Linked DNA regions of Struthio camelus. The main gene of each other region encodes a partner of the protein of the gene in region 2 in a complex. Links are inferred from orthologs where the notes say so. Each region holds a gene or a part of one and is shown on either strand. Other genes may lie near its edges.

Region 1 (8,005 bases), on a different chromosome or scaffold from region 2:
ACTCACTAGAGACACAAAGTCCAACTGCAACATCATTAATAACGTCATCGCTTTAACATAACCGCCATCCACCCTGGTATCACCCGGAGTTCAGGGCGTTCTGCAGGACACGCGTAACCAGCTAGGAGCCGCCACCACCACCCAACTTACTTCAAGGGATCCTCCTGGTCGCTATCAATGCTGTCAGCCTCGCTGTCCGGGTCCCCTCGCCACGTCTGGTCCACTGTGATAGGGTCCTGCTCGCCGTCGCTCCAACTGTCGTCATCTGCAAAGACAAGTCTCCGTGAGAGGCAGGACCCTGCCCTGCTTCCCAGGGCTTGTTACTCCAGCACAGGGCAGCCAGGGACCCCGGGGGAGGCTGTTCCACGGCAAGTACGGAGGTGAGCCAGCTCTGTCTCTCCTCCAAGAGAAACTTCTCCCCAACACAACGTGAGCGAGCAATATGGTACAACAGGAAACCCACCAATTAATTATGTGCAGCCAAAATATACAGCTCCTGTGGAGTAACATTCTTGCCTACTTAAGAACCACGAACCGCCTGCCGGCTCCCCACCGAGTGACCCTGCAAGATGGGAAGCTCACCACCGAGCTGTAGGGAACAGACACATCTAACAGCAGTGTTTGACAGGCACAGCAAGAGACTAAACAAGCAATGAGGGGAGCTTCCAGACACGTCTACCGAAGAGAACCCACAAGATTTTGGCCTGGTGATGGGACATACCTATAATGTGACTTATCTGCAGTCACTGGTAGGCAAAACACACAGGGGTGTGGGACACGATCTTTTGCCACAGACCCCAGGATCCCTTTTCTACCACTGGATTTAATAAGCAACGTTCTTGGCGTTTCCAAACAAAAAAGAGAACTCCTGGTTCTCTCTCACCGGTTTTCACGTTAAATTCTTACCTAGGATTCGACTGGCTTCACTGCGGCTACTCTCTGCAGTCTGGGAGCCCAGCTCTGTTTTGGCGTAAGAGCTAAGCTGGCAAAGGAGAGTCTCGCTTACAGGTCCAGGATTGGACTTTTTCATCTGAGCTTGGAGTGCCAGAGTATTCCTACGGGCATGTTCCGCGCAGAACGACACACTGAGCAAATAAATCAAAAACACGTTACGACTCCAAGCTCTCAGTCAGCCAGCAAAACGAACAAGCGATACAGTGAGAAACGCTCCCTGCCATTTGGAAGGCATACCCCACTCCACAGCTACCCTTCGTGAGCAAAACGTAACCATCTATCACCGGCTGCCGGTATCGTTCAGAAATGCCAGAGAGCCCCAAGTGGTTCGCAGACCACACACCACCATAAAACGCCACCTCTGGCACTGAAGCCGGCAGCCACATGGCACAGCAGCAGGGAGAGAAAAGGGCTTTTTACTTCAAGCCGCAGAGGTAAACTGCTTCCAAACATTCACGCTGGACTTTAAAGTTTTCGTGCAGAGCACGTTGGCCCACATTAGATGCATCCTTTTTATCGCAGAGGCACCAAGGGCAGAATCAAGACTGCTAACGTTCAAATTTCAGTGACCTCTGGGAAGTAAATAAAGGCCGACGCTCCAATAACTGCATTCTGCTGACGTGTTTACTGGGTGTCAATAATTATTCTAGGCCTTTTCATCTGTAACAGCTGGAACATTTTACACGCATCAAGGAACAACAAGCACAACCAGGTCATCAACTCCAAATAATACATGACCAGAGGATCTGTAATACATGACCAGAGTATCTGTGTTGAGGATTAACCCTAAGCACAGACACAGACAACTCGAGTTTGCCAGGGTTAGCTCAGGTGCAGCACCATGCGGATGCAACCGCAGCTCCCACCAAGCACCCTGGCTCCTGAAACAGCACAGCCACCTTCTGATGACAGAGGGCAGCAGCCTGATAGTCCTGCAGGACCAAAAAGACTCCATGCAGAGCTCTCAGTGCTCACAGTCTTTCTGCTGGATTAACAATGCTTCAAAAATGGAAAATCACTTGTCTGAGGTTAACATAAGCGCAGCAGCAGAATAAGGAAAAGGACCTGCAGAGACCTATGCCTTCACCCCATGGTACTCTTGCTTCTGCCTCTTTTAACTCTATACAGTACAGAGCAAAGGACTGGGAAATGGAAATGCTTACCCATCCTTTTTCTCTGGTTTGGGCGCAGCGTTTGGACACCGCTTTCCGTTCTTTGTTGAAACGTAGCTGCACTGCTTGAAAGGAGCAGTCCTGTCTTCCAGAATATGCTTAATACAAAACTCCTGCCCTTCCAGCCGTGGCTGCGAACACTGGCGGTGAGTAAAGGCACATGACAGAGGTTCCTGGGGCCGCGGCACAGGAGTAAGGCGTCCTCGACTTGACGGCAAAACATGGATCCGAATTCTGTTCATGCCAACACCTGCTAGAGAGATACAGCTCCAATTAAAAGAAATTAAGCAAACGACTGATAAAAAGAAAGAGCAGTCTCTGCTAATACCTGCCAACTTCTGAATAAAACTCTTTGTCCTCCTGGGACGAGAAACTGTTCCTACAGACATAGTTTCATGGGAAACTCGACTTCACAGTAACCCCAATTCGGCGGCAGAGGAAACATGCTTCACTTAGGTACCTGAGCTTCCAAGCGTTGCCACCTGCCAGCAGCGTGGCCAGGGGTACGTTTTCCAGACCCCCTTCCCTCTCTGCACAAACCCTCCACGCCCCAGCGGGCAACCGCTCCAACCCCACCATCCCAATATGCAACCCCTTCCTCCCAGTGCAGGATCTGCCACCCGATACAGAACCATTCCCTCCAGTCCCTCGATACCAGGCACCTTCCTCCCTGTGCAGGACCCCCCACCCCTCAAACACCCTCCCATATACACCTCCTTCTCGAGTGCCCAATCCTCACCCCCACCTTTGCACTCCCTCAGTGCAGCACCCCATGCTCCCAATTCACAGGTCACCAGCTAAGCCCCAGTATAGGATGCTTTCGTCCCAGCGCACCCCTAAGTGCTGGCCCCCCCTACTCCCGGGGCACCTCCATGCATGATTCCCTTCTCCCAGTGCACCCCCGTGCAGGTCCCCCTTCCTCCTGGTGTGCCCCCCCTGCACGGCCACCACCTCCTCCTCAGGCACCCCCCCGTGCATGTTCTCCCCCTCTCCCGGTGCACCCCTCGGGGCACCCCGTATGGATCCTACCCTCTCCCGGTGCAACCCGTGCACGGTCGCCTCCTCCCCGGAGCACCCCTCAGTGCACCCTCGTACAGATCCCCCCAATCCCGGTACACCCCCGGGGCACACCTTGGTGCATTCCCGTGCAGACTCCCCTCCACTCCCGGTGCACCCTCCCGGAGATCCCCCCCCTACCGGTGCACCTCGTGCACGGCCACCTCCTCCCCGGTGCACCCCCATGCAGATGGCCCCCCCCGGTACACTCCTCGGTGCACCCCATGCAGATCACCCCTCCTCCCGGTGCACCCCCTCGGGGCACCCCGTACACGGCCGCCTCATCCCCGATGCACCTCCCGGTGCACCCCCCTAGTGCACCCCCTGCACGGCCGCCTCCTCCCCGGTGCACCCCTCGGGGCACCCCGTGCACGGCCGCCTCCTCCCCGGTGCACCCCTCGGGGCACCCCCGTGCAGAGCCGCCTCCTCCCCGGTGCACCCCCCTAGTGCACCCCCCTAGTGCACCCCCGTGCAGACCCCCCCCCCCGGTGCACCGCCGCCTCCTCCCCGCGCACGTGCTCCGCCACCCGCCTCGCGCCGGGCCCGCGCATGCGCCCTCGCGCCGCCCGGCTGCCCCGGCGCCGCCATTTTGTCCGCGGGCGGCGGGCGTGAGGGGGGCTGCCGAAGGGGCCCAGGTGGCGGCGTCGACGCGGAGGACGGGGCGGGGGATCGGTGCCCGCGGCCGGGACGGGTGGGGAAGAAGCCACCGGGGGAGCGGGCAGGCGGCGGGGCCGGCGGGCTCTGCTCGGGGCGGGCGGCGGCGGCGCCGCCGCCATCTTACCTCGCTCGCGCCCCAGCCTGGCCGCCGTCTGCGCCGCGCGCGCCCGCCCGCCCCTCCCGCCGCCTCACTGGCTCGCCCCGCCGCCAATCCGCGGCGGCCGCAGGGGCGGCGCCGCACGCCGTTGGCCGAGCGAGCCGTCCCTCCGCTCAGCGGCCGGCCACGCCTCCTCCCCCCTGGGCGGTCACGTGGAGGGGGGGCGCGGTGGGAACCGACACGTGGGCGCGGGGCCGCCGCCGCCGCCGCCAAGGAAGAGCTCGGGACACAGCGCTGCAGCTCGGCTGCCTCCTTTGCCGTTCACTTTTATTGATGTGGATAAATACACAGCGAGAGACAGTGCCCGCGAGCGACCGAGCACCGGCGCCGTGCCCGGGGAAGGGGGGGGGGGGGAGTGTCCTTACCGGGCGCCCTTACCGGCGGCCGCTGCAGCCGGTGAGCGGAGGCAACGCAGCCGCGGCCCCGCCGCGGGGGAAGCGGGGTTGCGAGCACCCGGCAGCCCTGAGTGAGAGAGGAGAGACGGAAGCAGGTTTCGCATTTTGGCTCCGGGAAGGCAAAAAGCTCCCGGTGGCCGCGGGGCACCGGCTCGGCCGCCGCCCCCCCCCCCCTTTCCCCCGGGAGCTCCCCTGCCTTTGCCCCTTCCCCTGCAGGAGGGAAAGCTCTAACACCGGTTACGGGCTAGAGCAGGTAGCACACGTCTATCTGGTTTTTAAAAAGTTTCCCGAAGTTTAAATATTTATAAATGTTTTAAGAATAATACTCAAAAGCACCTTCCTTACCCTGGCTTCGGCTCTCGCTCCCAGCGCTCGCCCGAGCAGGGAAGAGGAAAGCATGAGGGGAGGCTCGTGTTACCCCTCAAGCCCCCCCATGGGGAGGTGGCAGGTACAAATCAGAAACAGCTTTAGATAGAAAAAGAAAATTTAGGTCTGCGGCCAGGTGTTCTCTGCCGGTACACGACAAACGCCCCAGGCTCTTTCCGGCAAGGAAGAGGGACGCACTTTGGGGGTGCCCAGGAAAAGCTTCTTCGCGTTCAAGAATATAGCCTGAAGCACGGCAGCAGGAAACCCAGAGACAGCCCAAACTCGCGTCCAATAACCTCCTCTGTCCTATCACCTGAATCCACCCTGGAGGTAAAGCCCCCGGCCACGCTGAGGGCCTTCGCGCATCCCCCATCTCACGCGCCCAAACACAACACCAGCTCACAGCCACACAAACCACAAGCGCAGCCTTAAACAAAAGGACGCAGAAATCACTCAGAAGAGGATTGCTTCTGCTGGTACCGCCTGCGAGACAGAGGTGCAGGGCACCCGTCTCGCCTCCACGCGTAGGCCTGAATGGGCACTAAACGCTTAAGACCTGCCCAGGAGACGCCTTCGCTTGTGGCAGATGTCTCCAGCCAGTGTGGCAGTGACCCTGCAGTTAAGGCTTTTGCAGCAACAAGAACCAGACGTGTAGCTCGTCTTGAAGATGCTCAAGTTTTCCAGGACACGCGCAGAGACTCACTAGCGCGTTACACTCGATACCTCCCTGCAGAGAAGGCTGCAGCTGGAATTGCTCCCCTACTGAATAAGGGAAAGGGCAGCACGATTCGCCGCAACGCCTGACAAACCATGCCGCGCAGGCTCTCAAAGCACCCAGGTAAGCAAGAGACAAATCTCTGCTGGGAGCTTCAAACATAAACTCTGTACCTAAGAGGTTACCCTGGTGGTTGACCAGCTCCAGCAAGCTGGCACTGGCAAGGGTTAGCATTACTGATTGCTCTTTAAAATAAGAGGAACTGGATGTAGAACAGAGTTTCACAAAAACATAAGGAGACAGTACGTTTATTGAAGTTTGGAAAAGTATAGTCCGAGAAGAAAATAAGTCGGCTTTTCCAAAACGTTAGACTGAAACTTCCCACCTCCAGCTGGATTCCCTGTTCCAGGATTTAGGTAGCAGTAAAAGCTAGGTTTCCAACTTGGAGAGATAAGGGTTGCGAACAGCAAAGTGCACACAGGATTCCCTGTCCAGCCAGCAGGATCTTGTGCCTGACACCGGGCCCAGAGCCGAGGAGGATCTGCAGTCGCTCAGAAGCTGCCCGCCTTGCCCATTTTCATCGTATTTCCCAACTGCGAGACCCGCGATGCAGCTCCTCTCAGATTAAGCCCTGTGCAACTACAGACCACATCTGTCAACGTATTTCACGTTTATACCCAGACTAGGCTCTACGTGGCTTACATGCTCGAAACACCATTTCCCAGGCTGTGGTCCAGCCAGCTCCACACCCTTCCTGCACAGCTGCCAGTGGCACCCTGCAAATGGACTCCTAGATTTCACGTTAAGCTGATATTCTGCCAAGGTATCATTCTAGCCAGCTCCAATGCAGCTCTCCGTCAACCCAGCCGGGCACCCCTTGGGCACAAGCCCACTCCGCATACGAGGCCCCTCGCCTCAGAAGCCGAGCAGTGCTGGGCCAGGCCAGCCACACGTGGGCAGCTCCTCCGGACCCTCTCCCCAAAACCGCCACCTGAGGTGACAGACAGGCCCTCAGCCAAGCCCGCAGTCACCAACCACCTCGCCCTGGATGTTCACATCGCACCAGCTGCCACGAAACACCACCACCAACACCCCAACGTTTCCGCAGCCCTTTCCATAGCCAATGTTAAGAATCGCGATCCGTAACATGACTTAAACGCACCCCGTTCACAGCTCTCCCCGTTCGCACCCCTGCTTCCCTCTCCCGCATCAGCTCCGCACCACCAGGAGGTGAGCGAGGTCTCACCGCGCCATGCTGACTCCTGGCCCTTCTGCTAAGCAGGTAACACGCAAGGTGAGGCTGGCGAGACTCTCCTTCACCATCACCCCAGAAGCCACAACCTCCAACATGCACCTTTCTCCCATGAACCGCCACCTTTCAGGGGGGATTTTTCAGCAGAAGCAACGTGACCTGCCAGGCAGTCTCTCGTTCAGCAGGAGGGGAAGAGCTGAGGGACAGAGGAAGATACCGGATCCTCCCCCTTCGCTCAGAGAGGGAGAGACAGCCTAAACGAGAGCCGCTTTTGCAGATGAGGAAACTGAAACAACAGCAGGCAGAGCAACTCCGAATTACCCCGAGTCGGCAGCAGCTGGGATTCCCTCCGCTGCCCCGGCCGAGCTGCCTCCAGCTCCTGCCCTCTCCTCGCACCACTTCCTCTGCTCCATCCCCGAAAAGCTCCTGAGCCACTTTCCATCGCCAACAGCTCGAACGGAGCCTCCTGACCAACGAGACGCAGCCTGAGCCCTTCACGAGGGTCCCCTGCAGCACCTGCCAGCATTACAAAATTAAAATGAACAAAAACACTAAGATATAAGTTACTGCTTAAATTATTTGTAAAATGTCTTAGATTTTCTGTGACACGTTTTAAATACCCCCCAGGGCCCCCACAGTACGTGATCCCCAGAGGGGGCTTCAGTTCCAGCAGGGACAGACCCCACCACTAACTGGAAGTCGGTGGGGGAGGGAGCGATGAACGGAGAAAGGGTTTCTCATCCTTTCACAGCTTCAACAACTCCGCGCTCTAAATACCAATAATAAAAGTTATAATAAAAATAGTTCTTCGTGAGGCAGTGGAGACCAAACAGCCCTTTCCCTCCCCTGCAGGGGCAGCCCAGGTTTCAGGCTCGGGCAAGCAGGCTCGTCTGTACAAACTCAGTAGTAAAAAGGGCTTTACTTGGGGAGCGGGGGGAGCGGAGGGGGGGGTTCCGACGGCAGCGGGGGCGGTCGGGGTTTGTCCGTGTTGGCGGCTCTGGAGCTCACGGCAGCCCGGGGGTTCAAGTACTCGCCACACGAGTGGAATTCGAAGCCAGGGGCCCCGGTGGGCTGCATGCCCTGCGCACTCAACAGCGAGTGCAACATATTGACTGTATCCTGGTAGTCACTGGCTTGGTTTGTGTTGTGCCCGTTGGCCCCCGTGGGACCCTTGTCCAGTTTGCCGTGGGGACCCCTGGCTTTGTTGGCCTGGGGTAAGGAGAGGCCACCTGCTTCTGAGCTGTGCCCTGGGAGATGGGCTGCCCCAGGCAGGTGGGGATA
Region 2 (6,947 bases):
CAGTGAACACAGAGAACGCAAAGCGAGCGTAGTCAAGCACGCGCTGCATTGGACCGGATTCAGCACGCCGACTCGTCCTCCCTAGCCCTCATTCACCGGCTGCAGACACAGAAGAGTCACCTCACTGCTCCGTACCACGATTTTCCTCTCCATTTCTGCTTTTTTTCTAAAATATTTATGGCCCCAACTGCATTTCACACAGCATCTGGCACTACACCATCCTCTGGCTGGCTGCGGCTTTATATACTAATACGTGCTGCAATGTAACCAGCAAGATGAGTCCCCGAAGCACAACTGCCACAGCTACTGCATGGATAGTTACTTAGGATCACAATTTCTTTCCTCTGCAACCCTGGCGCCCCGCGTTACCTGTTCACGTGTTCCTCCCAGTCATCTGGCGGAGGAGGAGCATCAGCATCCGTGCGCGCAAACATCACATGGCGCTCACACTCGTTCATCACACTGCGGGCTTTCTGGTTGTCGTAGAGCGGCACAGGCGTGGGCGTCACTGTTTCGACATCGATGGGGATATCTGCTTCGCTGTGAGGAAAATTTCACTTTAGAAAACGGGATGTAACCTGGAAAAAACCTGAGCGGATCAGAGAGCGCGCCTGATGCCTCAGGGATCTGTGTCTACCTGCCCCAGGTACGCACGAGACACCCGTGAACTTATTTTGTCCGTATTCCCACATCTCTCTCCAAAGATGCTGCGACTAAGTGGACTACTGTGGAATTGCACTCTTTGTAATGAGATCTTGCATTTGGAGAGCACACCGTGGGGACATGCTACACTATAAAAATCAAGAAGAATTTGTAACCAACTGGGACCTTGGGTCCAACTCTTTCCCATAAATCCTGACTCAGGCTGCAAGACCGAATGCTGTTCGGACAGTTGTTTAGATGGTGTGAATATAAACCACCGAAGCATCTTAGGCTTAATATTTAATAAAGTACCTATAGCTTCTGGCAGATGTTTTTAATCACTTTAGCCACTAGGCTTCATAAGCAGGTATCTTATCATTTCTGGTCTGAGACTAGGCAGTCTTTTTTTCCTGTTTTAAGCTCTACAAATGAACGTGCCTTAGAGGACCCTGCTAAGCCTGGTCTTCTCCTGCCAGAAGAGCTGCTGAGCAACTAATGTTTAAGAAAGCGAGTTTCGCGGCCAGCACCTGGGCCGTGACACAGGACAGGGAGAAGCTACTTCCTAGCAAAGGACCCAGAGATCATGGCCCAAAAGCAAAGGAGAAAAACACTGAAGACGCGAATGAGCCCTGATCCCAAAGACATCCCAAGCCGGGCACCAAATCCCTGAGCTCCAGCCTCAAGCCCATTCACAAGCCCAAAACCAAACGCTTGAGCCTTGACCCCCCCCGAATCCTGCCATGACCCCTCAAGCCCCATGCTGCGACCCTGAGCGCACCCCCATACCTCACCCCACATCTTCAGGCTGATTGCAACTCCAAACACAGCCGTAACCTCAGGTCTGTCCAAACCGCGCAGCTCCAGTCCCCCCACAGCACCCAAGTCCAGCCCCACAGCACGCACACCCCCCAGCTGCCCCCCAGAGTCCCCCCACTCCCCACTCCAGACCACCTAGCCCCACAGGAGCCCCCCACTGCCCCCTAGAGACCCCCCCACTCCCCACTACAGACCACCCAGGAGCCCCCCACTGCCCCCAACAGCCCCCCCGACCCTCTAGGAGACCCCCACTGCCCCCTAGAGATCCTCCACTCCCCACTATAGCCCCCCAGACACCCCCCACTCCCCACTACAGCCTCCCTAGCCCCACAGCAGGCCCCCACTGCCCCCCAGAGACCCCCCACTCCTCGCTACAGACCATCCAGCCCCATAGCACCCCCCTAGAGACCACCCACTCCCCAAAATAGCCTCCTCAGCCCCACAGTAGTCCTCCAGAGACCCCTTACTCCCCACTACAGCCCCCTCCAGCCCCCCAGAGACTCCACACTCCCCACTACAGCCCCCCCAGCCCCCTAGGAGTACCCGAGACCCCCCCACTCTGCTCTACAGCCCCCCCAGAAGCCCCCTAGAGACCCTCCACTCCCCCCTACAGCCCCTTAGAGGCTCCTACTCCCTCCTACAGGCCCCGTAGCCCCCAGGAGTCCCCTAGGGACCCCCCACTCCCCACTATCCCCCAGGAGCCCCCCAGGCACCTCCTACTCCCCCTTACAGCCCCCAGGAGCCCCCCAGGCACCTCCCACTCCCCCCAACAGCCCCAATACAGCCCCCCAGACACCCCCTATTCCCCCATACAGCCCCCTAGACACCCCCCACTCCCCCCTTACAGCCCCAATACAGGCCCCTAGACGCCCCTCACTCCCCCCTAACAGCCCCCCCAGACACCCCTCACTCCCCCTCAGCCGCCCCCCAGGAGCCCCCTAGACACCCCACTCCCCCCCAGCTCCCCAGGAGCCCCCCCAGCCCCCCTACAGCCCCCCAGGAGATCCCAGACACCCCCCACTCCCCTCCAGAAGCCCCCCAGACACCCCCACTCCCCCCCAGAGGCCCTCTAGAGACCCCCACTCCCCCCCTAGCAGCCGCCTAGACACTCCCACTCCCCCCGAGCCCGCCAGGAGCCCCCCCCAGCCCCCCTACAGCCCCCCCTCCCCCCCGACACCCCCCACTCCCCCCTACAGCGCCCTAGAGGCCCCCCACTCCCCCCCACAGCCCCCCAGACACCCCCACGCCCCCCCGCTCCGGCCCCGGCGCTCACAGGGCGCTGTCGGGCTGGCGCCGCGGCGTGACGAAGAGCATGCGGGTGGGGCGGGCGGCGCTGGCGTCGGGGTGGGCGCTCCAGGGCTTGGCGTAGCTGTGGTCCAGGCACACCAGGTCCAGCTCCCGCTCGTGCACCGACAGCTGCAGCAGCAGCGACGTCCCCATCCTGCGCGCCGACCACTGCAGGTCCCGCTCGCCGCCGCCGCGCTGCGACATGGCCGCTAGCGCCGCCGCCGCCGCCGCCCGCGCCGCATCCCGCGCCAGGGCCGGGCCGGGGGCCGCGCCTGCCGCTGGGGCCTGGGCCGGGGCCGCCGCGCCGCAACGCGCATGCGCCGCCCGCCCGGGGCCGGCTGGAGCGCGCACTGGAAAGTGCGGAGCGGAGTTTGAGGCCGGGCGGAGCGGAGCGGAGCGGAGGGCGGCGGGGCGCGGTCAAAGCGCGGAGAGCGGATGCAGGCGGAGCGGAGTGTGAGGGAGAGGCCCGGTGCGCGGGGGCACGGGGACACAGGGGGACATGGGGACACAGGGGGACACAGGGGGACATGGGGACACAGGGGGACACAGCGACATGGGGACACGGGGACACGGGGGAATAGAGACACGGGGACACACGGACATGGGGACACAGCGACACACGGACACGGGGATATGGGGACACGGGGGTACACAGGGCTATGAGGATATGGGGACACAGAGACACGGGGACATAGAGGCACAGGGACACGCAGACATGGGGACACAGTGGCACGAGGACACAGTGGCATGAGGACACAGCAGCTCAGGGACACAGCGATATGGGGACATACGGACATGGGGACATACAGACATGGCGACACAGGGACACAGTGACACAAGGACACAGCAGCTCGGGGACACAGCGACATGGGGACACACGGGCACGGGGTCACAGTGACATGGGTACACACACATACAGGGGACACGGGGACACGGGGACACCCTCCCCCCCCAAGGGGACATTGAGACACCAAGACAGAGTGACGTGGGGACACAGCCCCGTGGGGACACAAGGACCCAGGGGCATGGGTACGCACCCTCACGGGACGCCAGCACACACGTGGGGACACGGGGCACCCACGGGTACGGCCTGGCACAGTGACACGGTGGCACCAGCCCCCGCGAGTGCAGGCAGACACAGTGCTGCGGGTGCTGCAGGGTGCCATGGGGTGCTTTGGGGTGTCATGGGGTGCTGGGGGGGGTCACAGAGTGCAGGGGGTGCCATGGGGTGCTGCAGGGTGCCATAGGGTGCTGGGGGGTGTCAGAGAGGGCAGGGGGGGTGCCATGGGGTGCTGCAGGGTGCTGAGGGCACCATGGGGTGCTGTGGGATGCCACAAGGTGCTGTGGGTGCCATAGGGTGCTGCGGATGCCTTGCGGGGTGCTACAGGGTGCCATGGGGTGCCACAGAGTGCCATGGGGTGCCGTGGGGTGCTGCAGGGTGCCATGGGGTGCCGTGGGGTGCCGTGAGGTGCTGCAAGTGCTGTGGGGTGCTGTGGGGTGCCATGGGGTGCCATGGAGTGCTGTGGGCTGCTGCAGATGCTGTGGGGTGCCATAGGGTGCCACAAGGTGCTGCAGGTGTCCTGGGCTGCCATGGGGTGCCGTGGGGTGCTGCAGATGCTGTGGGGTGCCACAGGGTGCCACAAGGTGCTGCAGGTGCCCTGGGGTGCCCTGGGGTGCCATGGGGTGCTGGGGGGCACGCCACGACCTGAGACAGCAGCAGCAGCAGCAGCAGGCCCGGGGCAGCCTGTGCTTGGCACAGGGACCCTGGGGCACCGTCCGTCCCCCCACTGTGACCCGGCGTTCTGGAACGCGCCGCCGGCACCTCGCACCCCGGCTCGGCACCCTGCGCCCCGGCCCAGCACCCAGCTCCCTGCGCCGACATGCTGCGCCTGGTGGTGGCCAGCGCTCGCATCCCCGCGCCGCGGGCGCCCATCGCCGACGTGCACGTGCGCGCCGAGTTCAGAGGTACCCCAGCAGCTGGGACGGGGGACGGGACGGGGGACGCCTCCGGGCAGCACCCACCCGGCACGCACCCAACCTCCTCCCTGTCCCCAGGCGTCCCCAGGAGCACCCGAGTGGTGCCAGGCGAGCGCGACACAGCGTGGAACGAGGTGAGGCCACGTGGCTGCAGCGGTGGCATCAGCATCACTTTCCCATGATGGTGGCATCACTTTCCCGTGGTGGTGGCATCACTTTCCCGTGGTGGTGGCATCATTTTCCTGCAGTGGCAAATCACTTTCTTGCAGTGGTGGCATTGCTTTCCCATGGTGGCAAATCACTTTCCCATGGTGGTGGCATCACTTGCCCATGGTGGTGGCTTTCCCGTGGTGGCACCACTTTCCCGTGGTGGTGGCATTGCTTTCCCATGGTGGCAAATCACTTTCCCATGGTGGCGGCATCGCTTTCCCACGGTGGTGGCATCACTTTCCTGCGGTGGTGGCATGACTTTCCTGTGGTGGTGGCATTGCTTTCCCATGGTGGCAAATCACTTTCCTGCGGTGGCCGGCAGGAGCCGAGCCCCAACGCCCCGCGTGTCCCCGCAGACGCTGGTGTGGCCGCTGGGCGCCCGGCCGCTGGAGCCCTCCGCCGTCGTGGCGCTGTGCCTGCGGCAGTGGGGCCGCCCAGCCACCAACGGGTGAGTGGTGGCAGACGGGGACCCTTGCCGGGGCTGCCGCCGCGCTCACCGCCCGTCGCCCCGCAGGGACCTGGGTGCCGCCACGGTGCCGCTGGGGCAGCTGGTGGCGGAGCCGAGCCGCCCGCTCGCCCTGCGCAACGTGCCGCTGCTCGACCGGAACCGCCGGCCCACGGGGGTGAGCGCCCAGCACCTTCCTCCTCCTCGTCCCGGCGGCACCCGGCGGTGCTCACGGGCACGTTGCTTCGCAGTGCACCGTCACCCTTAGCTGCTCCTACGTCCCCGCCGGGCACGAGACGCCGCGGGCGCCCAGCAGAGCTGCCGCAGGTGAGGACGCCTCCTCCCGCCCCGGCGCTCGATTTGGCCGCGGGGACGACAATGCGCCGTCCCCTTTTGCTGTGCCTAGAGGTGCCGCGCGGGACCCCCTGGCCGAGCCCCGGGAGGGAAGCGTCGGGAAGGAAACAGGATTTCCAGGTAACGCCGAGCACCGGCGGGGAGACTGCGGCAGTTTTTTCCCGGCCGGGCGGTCGCAGCACCCATCGCGTCCCCGCTCCAGGTGCGAGTGCGGATCATCGAAGGGCGCCAGCTGCGCGGGAACAACATCAAGCCGGTGGTGAAGGTGTTCATCGGCGAGCACGTGTTCCGGACGAGGATCAGGAGCGGGAACAACCCCTACTACGACGAGGTGGGCGGGAAACAGGGCGGGGAGACGGCGGGAAGCGGCGCCGGGGAGTGAGCGGCGGTGATTGCGGCTGCCGGCCCCTTTCTCCCCAGGTGTTTTGCCAGAATTTCCGCGAGACGCTCGCCGGCCTCTTGGAGCAGCCCATCCACATCCAGGTAGGACGCGGCGGCGGGCGCGGGTGGCCCCGGCGGGGCCGCAGCCGATGCCGGAGCGCGGGGCGGCCGGTCCCGCAGGTGCTCAACTCCCAGGCGGTCCGCGCCGAGTCCGTCATCGGCGTCTTCAAGGTGAGGGGCGACGGGGTGGGGACGGACGGGGCGCGCCGGAGGAAAGGGCCGCCGTCTCACCTTCTCACCCGCACCGGCGCGCAGCTGGACGTCGGCAGCGTCTACAGCTCACCCGGTAGGTGGGCATCACGGCGGTGGCGGCAGCGGACGGGGTCCCCTCGGTGCAGCTGCTCAGCATCTGCCTCCGGCAGGTCGGACGCTCGCCTGGAAGTGGCTCGGCCTCCACCACCCCGACCGCCTCGACGCCGGCCTCCGAGGCTACCTGCGAGTCAGCCTGAGCGTGCTGCGCGCCGGGGACCCCGCGCCGGTGAGCGTCCCTGCAGCCAGCCCCGCTCGGGCGGGCGCTGAGCTTCGCCGCCGCCGCCGCCATCCACCCCATCTCTTCTCCGCCAGGACCAGGCGAAGCCAGCCGAGAGCGAGGACGTGGAGGCCAACCTCCTGCAGCCCTCCTCGCTCCCCGCCTGCGTGGCAGCCCTGCAGCTCCGCGTCTACCGGGCCGAGGACGTGCCCCAGGGTGAGCGCCGGCGAGCGCGGGGACGGGTGCCGCGGGCTGCTCCTCCGGCACGGCCTCATCCCCGCCTCTCTCCTTTCCCGGTGTAGAGGA

Evidence for each region. Proteins that work in one complex are often made in the same cells at the same time.
Region 1: KANSL3 (region 2) and KANSL2 share a complex: the UniProt entries of both Homo sapiens proteins name them as parts of the NSL complex. The link is inferred for Struthio camelus from reciprocal best matches to the Homo sapiens genes KANSL3 and KANSL2.

What each region holds. Positions count from the first base shown.
Region 1 is NC_090969.1:1,056,302-1,064,306, reverse strand, and holds the start of KANSL2 (KAT8 regulatory NSL complex subunit 2), read right to left. Parts: upstream 3,026-8,005; 5' UTR 2,834-3,025; coding exon 2,587-2,833; exon of another isoform or gene 2,516-2,586; coding exon of another isoform or gene 2,506-2,515; coding exon 2,455-2,505; intron 2,380-2,454; coding exon 2,118-2,379; intron 1,086-2,117; coding exon 907-1,085; intron 266-906; coding exon 151-265; intron 1-150. Other genes in the region: CCNT1 (cyclin-T1), read right to left, coding at 7,643-8,005. UniProt on the Homo sapiens protein: Non-catalytic component of the NSL histone acetyltransferase complex, a multiprotein complex that mediates histone H4 acetylation at 'Lys-5'- and 'Lys-8' (H4K5ac and H4K8ac) at transcription start sites and promotes transcription initiation.
Region 2 is NC_090968.1:1,247,942-1,254,888, forward strand, and holds the start of KANSL3 (KAT8 regulatory NSL complex subunit 3), read right to left. Parts: upstream 3,001-6,947; 5' UTR 2,950-3,000; coding exon 2,732-2,949; intron 541-2,731; coding exon 370-540; intron 1-369. UniProt on the Homo sapiens protein: Non-catalytic component of the NSL histone acetyltransferase complex, a multiprotein complex that mediates histone H4 acetylation at 'Lys-5'- and 'Lys-8' (H4K5ac and H4K8ac) at transcription start sites and promotes transcription initiation.